Linked DNA regions of Coturnix japonica. The protein of the gene in region 1 interacts with the protein of each later gene in a biochemical or structural test. Links are inferred from orthologs where the notes say so. Each region holds a gene or a part of one and is shown on either strand. Other genes may lie near its edges.

Evidence for each region.
Region 2: the proteins of STK26 (region 1) and CAB39 are reported together in a solved structure, tested with the Homo sapiens proteins (2 studies listed by IntAct, with this or other methods). The link is inferred for Coturnix japonica from reciprocal best matches to the Homo sapiens genes STK26 and CAB39.

Annotation. Positions count from the first base shown.
Region 1 is NC_029519.1:3,353,350-3,358,564, reverse strand, and holds part of STK26 (serine/threonine-protein kinase 26), read right to left. Parts: intron 3,388-5,215; coding exon 3,157-3,387; intron 1-3,156. UniProt on the Homo sapiens protein: Serine/threonine-protein kinase that acts as a mediator of cell growth. Modulates apoptosis. In association with STK24 negatively regulates Golgi reorientation in polarized cell migration upon RHO activation.
Region 2 is NC_029524.1:4,182,356-4,187,570, forward strand, and holds the end of CAB39 (calcium-binding protein 39), read right to left. Parts: intron 5,215-5,215; coding exon 5,155-5,214; intron 4,544-5,154; coding exon 4,478-4,543; intron 3,676-4,477; coding exon 3,532-3,675; intron 2,808-3,531; coding exon 2,619-2,807; 3' UTR 191-2,618; downstream 1-190. UniProt on the Homo sapiens protein: Component of a complex that binds and activates STK11/LKB1. In the complex, required to stabilize the interaction between CAB39/MO25 (CAB39/MO25alpha or CAB39L/MO25beta) and STK11/LKB1.

The DNA.
Region 1 (5,215 bases):
GTATAAATAGACAAAGTAGAACAAACAATATCTTCAGATGGCCTCAAAGCTTCGCTGCACTAAGTGCTGTACAGTCTTGCTGGAATACACTGGATGTTACTATAGGAATTTTCCATGCTAAAAATCTGAAAAACTGAGAATAATGTCAAGCTTGTTTTAAAGGCAAAATCAAGAAATAAAAGCAGCCCAGGTGGGTTCAGTAGTTACAAGTTACAGAGTAGATAATTAACTCCCTAACCCAAAGGCTACATGGCACAAATAAGGAAAACAATCCACATGTTTTAGTCACCCAGAGATGATCACTCTCTATGGGATCAGATAAAATAAAGCTTACATATTTGATTGAGCTTCACAAACTGGCATAACCAGAACATACCAGAGCTGGAGTAACTCTCAGTAACTTTAATCTTTCTGTTGGATAAGCTAATAAGGCAGTAATACTGACATTCTGACACAACAGAGTTGAGGACAACACTTTAGCACTCTAGCATACCTTACACTGCTATGCAGTATCATTTTGAAGGGTACTTTCCACAATCTATGTTTTATTTTGTGAGATATGACGTTCACTGCAATCAAAGTGCAATCCTGGGTGACAACTCAAATTTAGATGCTCACCTACCACAGACAGGAATGTCTACAAACATCTATATCAGGATTAAAGTTATCTTGCATCTACACAAGCTCATCAGAACAGCTGTATAAACTTGCACAACTCCACACAGAACAGTGAAAGACACTAAATAAAAGGCAAAACCTTTACTACCCAACACAAACACATTCATAATGGTACATTCTTTGACTACATGTTTATACATCACCTACCAATGCTTGGGCCTTGCAAGACAGCCAAATTTAAGGGAGAAAATTATTAAGACTAGCTGAGTTTTAAGATTTATTCAACAGTAAATTCCCATTTGAGCTCCAAAGTTCAAGATACAAAGGTACCCCATGTCTTTGTGATTTGGGAATTTTGCACCTTTTTGTGTCACGATAATGGAAAATTAGCACCAGTCTTATCTCAGTGGTAAGGAAGATGACCCTAACTTATCTCAATAACGTTTTTAAAATATCTACTAACAGACAAATAACACTACATTGTTAAGTAAAAATGCTTAGGGGCTGTCTGTATTTCTTAAAATCACATTTACAAGTCAAAGATGCAAGCTGTAGCTAAAGAGCAGCTAGGCTGCAGAATATAAGAGTATCTCATATGGCATCAGTTGAGCTGACTAGGTTACAAATTAGTAAGTCAAGTAATTGAGATAAAGACACTCTTTCCTCCTCCTGTTCAGTTTCTGCTTAGCAGGAGGATCACTGGGAAGATCCTGAGTGCTGCTGGTAAGTCACAGGGCCACTGGGACTGGGCCGCTCCATTCCTGTTAGTAACAACACTGGCTCTGCATCCTGACATGCAAGAAACTAAGAACCATGTAAAGCTCCAGAATATTTAAAATAAATTGTATACAGAGGGAAAAACAACCTCATCTGAAAGGCTGAACAGTTACAGAATCCTTGCAGTTAACATACGTTGTTTAAAGTTTTCATCATAACATTCAATTATCAAATGTGTTTTCTTACAAAGGAGAAGAGCTGAAGCTGACTGGTACTTGATGGCAGTAACCATCTGCTTATTTGAAGTTCAATAAAGTTGGTTACTTCTTAAATACTGAAATACACTTATGCTCTTTTTGCCACTACCTTTGAAAAGTATTTCTAGGAGCTATTTTCAATAATCTTTATGTATAAAACCAACAAGCCTATTTGATCACTCCTGATGTAATCTTGGTGCCAGTCATATCCACTAAGAACTGCTATTGCACTCAGCAGCCTAAGACTCTGCTTTCTATGAAATAACAGACCTTAAGTTTCAGGATCTAGCCTCAACATTCTTTAACCTTTAATTATTAAGTCATTTTGTACAAAACTGTACATACTTCATTTCCAGAAGAAGTCTACAGAATATGCAGAACAAAATACTGAACAGCTTCATACTAAGGCTGACAGCCATCCTCAGAACTACAGCTAATAGAAAGTTAGAAGCTACAGCAACCTTAGTTTTTACTTTTAAGAATAGACAGATAGTACTCTCGAAATGCTTGTCAGTACCAAAATTAGAGTCAGCATAAAAGATTATTTGGACACTTCTACCAAAGCCAATACACTCTCCCACCTGAGAAATCTCAAGCTGAAAGAACCAGTACTAGCAAACAAGGATGAATCTAGTCTAAGGCAGGGAAGAGCAAGCAATAAAATTAACTGCCATGCTAGTATGGGATTAAAAACAATCCTGTGATTTATTTTTTTAAGGGAAGTTTCTTAAGGGAAAATAAACAAAATTTCACAAACAACTCTACAAACATCACCCAAAAATGTTTCCCCCAAAATAGTAGACAAGAAAAACCAGGGGACCAGCATTAATCTTTCAGAATGCATTAAAAAATGGAAAGAACCCAAACAAGGAAAGTAATGCAGAATTAACACACTCCTGCGCTTGCCAGGAATTTTTAAAGAGCAGAAAACCCAGACCAGGAGCTGGAAGTTACATCCAACTATTCTGTCAGTGCTATACATTCATATACTTCCAATTTTTATCTCTGTAGGGCTGAGCATTGTTGTGTGTGTTGATGTTTCCTTTTTTTAAAGCTTGTTTCTTAATTTAAGCCTTAGATAACACGAGAGTTACATAACCACTTTGTACTGTTGTCAGTTCTACTTTGTTTCAGGCCTACTATAACACACAACTACAAACATCTCCACACGGTGCAGCGTTTCCTTCCATATCAAAGGAGGGTTTCTCTTTTTTGTTAGTCTAGCTATGAAAACATATTTTTCCCCCTCCAAAAAGGCTCAAAATTTCACTGGAAGTTGTGAGGGAAGAAAGAAGAGAAAACCTCTTCCTCCATGTAATTTTATAAGCTCAATAGCAATAGGAATCTTCTGTCAACTCCGCTCCTTTTGTAGCCATTTTGTGAAGATCTGAGCTTTAAGGAACATGCAGCAAAAGATGCAGAACAAAGGCAACTCCATTCAAAGGGAAAAACAGAAAGTCAAGTTGATGTGATAACACTTTCTCAGTTATAGGAACTTCCCTGTGCATCATTCAAAATGGGCTGACACATTGCTAGTAAATGTTTGTGCAGTAAGATACATTACCTTTAAATATGATCCATAGTATTTCGTTACATAAGGACTATCACACTGACTTAAAACAGTTATCTCTTGCTGTATATCTTCTATTTCATCTTCTGCTTCCTCGAGGTCTATGATTTTTATAGCAACCACTTGCTGCGTCCGATTATCAATTCCTTTAAAGACTTCACCAAAGGAGCCTTTCCCAATGCGTTCCAGTTTTGTGAATAATTCTTCTGGGTCTGCTCTATGGTTCTAGAGAAAAAGTTAAAATAAATAAATAAATAAAAGATGAGCTATCTTCATTTACTTCCAAGTTATTAGCCCTCATTAATGCCCATGAAACACATCACCCAGATTTATCATTATTAGAGTGCTCGTATCAGATGAATTTATTTCCTATACACTCACTTCTAATTCAGCTATTAGTTACAAAATGTATATTATACAATTATGTCAAAGGTAAGTGAATTTCACCATCGAAAGCAACAGGTACAAATCTCATTTCCCACATAATGCTTTTAAAGGAAAGAATAGAGCTGTTCTTAATACTGATCCTGTCTGTGTGGTAATTCAGAAGTCTACAGAATGCAATTACTGGCACAGAAGTGCTAACATCATTCCCCATGTGAATAAGGCTGGGCTCACCTATGAGGTCAACAGCCTTGGGCAGACAAAGCTCCACTTCAAGTAATAAAACACAGAGGTAGCTGCAAGAGGACTACAGCACCCGGAGCCCATTAGCAGCATCCTCCACCCAAGCACACTGAGCTTTTGAGATCTGCTAAGATGTAAGGCAACAAAAGGCACTGAGAGACATTCAAAGGAGTACAGATGCAGAAATTAAACTTGAAGCACTGGTCAGAACGAGCTGATATCACCCAAACACGCCTTGGATGAGGAACACAGCACCAGACAGTACAGCACTCATGAGGACATCTGGTTTCCTTGGAAGGTTAACTGCTCTATGATCAGCACTGACATCATACAAAGGTCTTAACGCTTCCCAGCTCCATTCAAGGAATCAGAGGGAAGAGAGAAGAGGACCTCTAACACTTGCAGCAACTTTGCTGCTGCTAACTTGCCGCGAACAAGAAAACCCAAAGGCCCTCTGATTCTGATGTCTCTCCTGTATCCCTACACGTCATGCTTACCCAGCAGATCAAGTGAACTGCCCTGACAGAAGTGACAGCTTTGGCAAAGGCAGCCATTGTGCATCTGCTGCATGGATTACCCTGCACAACACACAACTCTAGTACCAACGGGAAACAAAACATCTTTACAGCATCATTTTGAAAACGGGTGCAAAAATCATCACTGGGAAAACAAAATTATTGCTCCTTTTTTTGACTGGAATACAGCAGCAATCTCACTACCTTATTGGCCACCTACTGTTCCCTTCCTTCTATCAGGATCAGATCTTATCCCACAATACAGTAAGATGAATCAGGGAGCAGATTTAGCTAACAGTTAACCGTATGATTTGTCAAGTTTATTTTCAGCAGAACCAATTCGCTGCTCAAATATACCGAGCTGTCATTTGTGCTATCACAAGAGGAGGGAACATTAAGTAGTAGGGCAGATTTGTGCTGAGCTGTGGAGTTGAATTGTTAAATCTTGCAAATATATGAAACACTGCTGAGCCCTGGTTGTACATTAAAGCAAGAACTAGGAATTCCTCCTTTGCCTACAAAGAGCTCTGTAGTACCCTGATGTATTAAAGAGCAAAGAAATACACAAGAATACACCTTCAGAAAAATAGCTACGCATAGATTTCTATTCCTCATCCCCCCCTTCCTCCCCACATATTGCTAGATGTACCAAAGGACTTGAAAGATGAGCAAATGCACAATCAAAGCAAGTATTTTGACCTGAAATCTGGGATAATTACAGGATAATAAACATAAAGGGAAAGAAACTGTAGACCTCATGACTATTATTTAGTTAGCAAACCAATGTATTCCTGAACTACTGCATCGACTGCAGTAAGAGCAGTTCTTTATTAACATAAAAAAATGACAGGAAAGTGTAAAGAAAGGATTGGCAAAGCTTTTTGTTAACCCTAAAACTGTCAGCTGTAGAA
Region 2 (5,215 bases), on another chromosome or scaffold:
ACTGATTAGATCTCCAATACGGCACCTCAGACCCTCAGAAAGATTTTTATAAGCCAGAGCTTTTCATTATATAGAATGATGTAATATGTAAAGGTGAGAACATCAAACACCTCTGAGGCAACAAAGGCACAAAGGTTCTGAGCCAGAAGAAACGCGCCGCCTTCAGAAACACAGCAAAGCACAAAGCACACCTTTTTCTTCAAAATTTTATTTCAATTTAAATTATGGGGCCAGCCAGATTTTCTTTTTTTTGTTCGGATAAGAAACGCATTTTCCTCAGGAGAAATGAAATGCTACCACGGAAGTAGAATTACAATTGTGTACATCTCTTATTTAAGAAGGAAAAGAAAAAAAAACAAAGAAAAAAAAGCACAAAATCAAAACCCGCTCACATTTCAATAAGTTGTAGTAATATCCTTCAGCCTTCCAGCAGATAAGAAACCACTTCCACAACAACAGCTGGGTCTTTTTCAATACGAAAAGCACGTCAAATGAGCTTTAATTTCATACAAGTTCTTTCCGAAAGCCAACTTTCAAACGTTATCACGTATTAAAGAAGTTACCTTAGCCATTACTTCCAAGACCTAAGACAGAGTAACCTACATCCCAGTCCAAATGTTTTCACATCTTTGCATATATAACACTTCTATGCTTTTCTAAAGAGGAAGCCTTATGGTAACTTGGCAAACAACATCTTCCATTCAGCTACGATAAACCAAGTAATAACCTGTTAGTCCTGAACTACAATACCATCCTGTGGCCAATTCTGCCTGCTCACGTAAGCAATGCCCAGGAATAGTCAGCTCTTTTCCTCCCAGTAGGCAAAACGAACCCGTTTGCAAAGGACATTACAGGACCTGAAAAAGGCCAATTAAAATGTTAAGAGCAATTTTAAACTACTGGGTGAAAAGGCTCGATTTTCTGGAGCTACCCAGCTTCCCTTGTGAAGGCTTTCAAACTGGCTTTAAATGTCACTTAAGGAGTTTCATCTTGCTGACTGTGGAATATTTTAATTAGGAAGAGGACAGGAAGCAACAAACATTTTCTATAGCATTCTCAATCAGATTCAGCCATGCAGAATTTGAACTTTCAGACTCCAATCCATACGCTTGGTAGGTTGTGATCTTAGCATTACTATATGATGGATAAATACAACTTCAATAACATCGTTTAGCTATATTTAGTAGATTCCTTTTGTATGGTCACAGTAACAAAAAAATGGTGCAAAATCAGTTGGTTTTTTTTGTTTTTATAAATACTGATAGTTTGCAGCATTAAAGAACAAAATCAACAAAGGAAAATCATTTTGTTACTCTAGGACATCTATATAATTATGGTTCTTGAAGTCAGAGGGAATCAGTTCATTCACTCACACAACTACATACTGAGTTAACTATTGTAAGACAGGAACGATGCACTGCAGGCTCCCCAGAAGTGAGAAGAATCCGTCTTAATTTAGCATCACATTTTGCCATCTGCAGATCTGGTGAGCACAACACTAGTTTAATCGAGTAAGGCCAATGTTATCTGGTAAGATTCTAGTAGATAGGGTTCCAGTTCTCTAGGTCAGCCTAGCCTAATTGATGGCACCCCATTAGGTGAGTACAGAGAATTTGTTGGTGGCTTTTTTCTTTTAATGCTGCAGTACTTAGGATCGTTAAATCAGCATTTCCATGTGATCTGAAGTATTCAATTACATATGAGCATTCATTTTGCAAAACTCAATATTAGGTAATAGTTACAGACTAATACAATAACATTCCTCTGCTGTACAAATTAAATCATATTTTAAAGAAATGAGCAGCCTAGGAGTTATATACAAAAGAAACCAGCAAGCATCGTTGAAATGAAACGCAAAATGTCACTGCTAGGTCTACTGTCTGAAATACCTTTAAAGCAAAATTAACAAAACCCCTTAGAACATATTTCCAAGTTTACAAGTCGATTCCCAGAAAAATCAAATCATGTCCAAAAAACCTAGAAAGCAGTGAAAGGCATATATACATTTTCCTTATGGACCTTGAGATGTCACTCTTTTAAAAGTTGCTAAGTTTCAATATCAGTTTATTTGCAAGACAACTGTTTATCCCAACAAGCTCACATCTTAGATACATTTCCCCTTTGATTACAAATAAAGCACTGCACAATTTATTTATTTTTTTTTAATCAAGGCATGTAATCTTATACTATGGTGCCAGGTATGCACAGGTCACGTTGTGCTCGTATCTCAAACAAGGTAAGTGCAAACATACAGATTTATTCAGATTTGCAAGCATGCAACCTTTTACTTAACTACATTAATACCTTCTTTCCTAAACCAAACTATTATCTATATGTTTGCGTTCATGAACCTAGAATCTTTCTTTTCAGGGCTCATAAAACAAGCAGTGTCTTTGAATTCTGAAATGACACAAATATCAAGAAAGTCCACATTGTGCAAGAAAGCAGCAGCTATGTTTTTCAACTTGGACTAAGGAAGAAAAAAAGAAAAACAAAAACCGTTCACTGAACAGCAGATTAGCAGTAATGTTCCTCATGAATCGATAAGAGTGCCTGATGCTGAATATCTAACAGCAACTGCTGAATTTGGGTTTAATATTATAGGGGTTTACTGGAGATTAAGCTTCTTGCTGTGCTGGTCTCTTCAAATCCCTGATCTGTTTAACTAAATAGGTCTTCTCATCATTAAATTGTTCGTCCTCGGTCCTGTCATTCTGAAACTTGCTGAGGAACTCAATGAGTTTGGTCTGGTTCTTTAGAAGGATGTCTAATATAGGCTGCGTCTTGTTAGGGTTGGCTACAAACACCTGCAAGACAATAAAAGGCATTCAGTGTAATAGTGGGAAACAGGAGGCCTAGATAAATAAACAAACCTAACCAACAAAACAGGGATGACCATAAATGACATTTTAGTTATTCAATATTCCAAATTGTATACAGAAAAGGAAGTAAATCAAAGTTTTATTCCAGAACTGATTTAATTTTTTAAATCAGAACATAAATCAAACACCAGTATTTGCAGTAAATTCAGGCTGTGGGAGCTGTTAGACACAGTACCCTCTGCAGAAGCCAGTTCAGACATTCCACAGTTAATTTAACTGTGGCAAACACATCATTCCATATTACATATGACATCAGACGGGTATATTCAAGTTTACTAAAAACTTTTATACTCCAAGCTGTTACTGTAAGCTCTCCGTTATTTGCCTGTATGCTGCTAAGTCAGAACAGACCTTTTTATAACACGTAAACAACAATTAGGCTTTGAAATTCAGCTGAATTGCTCAAAACATTGCTGTTCTTTATAGTGTCACACAGTACGACAAAAACACTTTAGACCTCCAAGATAATTCACGCTTCCCTAAAACAATGGATTCCTCCTTATCCTGCTGCACTTCATTTGAGGCTCAGCTAAGCAGTTTACTAAACAAACTCCTGGTGGGTTTTGTTTGGTTGCTGTTTTAGTGGAGCTTTCTTTTCATTTTGTTTGTGTATATTTGTGTGTGTGTATATGGTTGTTCTTAAATTTACCTTAAACACGTGAAAGGCCTCAAACTGAATGTTACGACTCTTGTCTCGTAGAAGGTTCATCATTAGTTTGAGATTTTCAGGTTTACTGATGTATTTTGTCATAATCGTGAAGTTGTGTCTGTCCAATAATAACTCACCAAGAAGCTAGAAGTGAAAAGGTGAAAGAAGAGATGACAGAACCTGTTCGTAAGTACTTTCAAACACACTGAGTAACCAACACTGCTCTGTAAAAGCAGAAAGATTGGAACTCAAACACGCCTTTTTTCAACAGGGAACTGCAAAATCTCCTTTTATTCTCCCTTTGTTATGAATTGGAACTGAAATTAAGAAAAAAACCATAATCTTTTTGATGCTTTTTTCCCCCCACAACTTCATTATTTTTTCTGTTAAGAAAAAATACTTCACATCAACCTAAAGAGTCTGGTAAGAAAAGGGAGCTGGCAATCCAAATGAGAAATATTTCTACTTCTTTCACTACCCATTTTATCCAGGGAGGATGCAAAACAAAGGTGAAAACCTCTGCTACAAATTGGCACATATACAACAGTTATAATCGGTATTTCCGACTAACTTAAATTAGTACTGCACTAATTACATCACGTGAGCCCCTCTTTTAGATTATTTAACAAATAAATCATATGTATTTAATCAATTTCAGTTCATAAATAATTTAGTCAGATTTGTTGAAGGGGAAAAACAAAATCTGAAAAAAAAAAATAACAGAAATAAACTCTTCCATTGAGTCACTTCTGCATGGAGGAAGAAATGACTTGGTGTGTGCTAGACACTGAATTATGGCAGGACTGGACTATAGGAAATTAACTGATCTCAAGATACAAATCAAATATTACCCAAAGCAGTTACTTGTTGTTTCATTTAGCCAACTCATTTGAAATTAAAGGCACTCTCTAACTTTGCTCTGAAGAACATAAAACTGCATCATTACCTTAAGTGACTGTCTCTTTGTCACATAGTTTTCTGAATGAAGTAACTTCTCATATTCACTGAAGAACTAAACACAGGACAAAGAGAATGGTTAAGACCTTTTCAAGTGTTACAAGTACTCTTATACTAAATTACTATAAAAAGCTGGAGGAGATGGAAATTTGCAAACAAAATCACAAGCCAAATCTGAAATCTCAGTAGTTTCCCTGAGCCACTACTGTAAATGCTTTAAAAATAATTGAGGAGGCTTCAGAGTTTAGATTGCAAAGTGTTAGAGGCAGTTATGTCACTATTAGTTAAACTAGAGCAGTTCCTGGTACTGAACAATGCTCATTAACTGCAGCAGTCCCAGGAGGAGGACAAGGATGATCTCACAATGTTTAGTTGTCACACGTGTACACACAAGGAAATAGCCTGGGAAAGGGTTCCCTCTAGTGGAACAAACGCCTTCTCACTGAATTAGGTTTTTGCCTCAGCCTCTCGTTACAGTCCTAACATTCAATAGCAAAGTCCTAACGTTAATTTAATCTCTGTGGCAGAAATTGACTGATTTCATTTGGTTTAATATTGCATGTAAATTACCCAAAGGCATTTAAAAAAGGAAAGAAAGCACAGATTCTTCTTCTTTGAAGACACACAGCACTACAAAACTCTCAACAATAAAATGTATTCACTCACCCTATCATAATGCTGTTCCAAAAATTCTGCACTTAGCAACTTGTGTCTTGTAAGTAAGTCC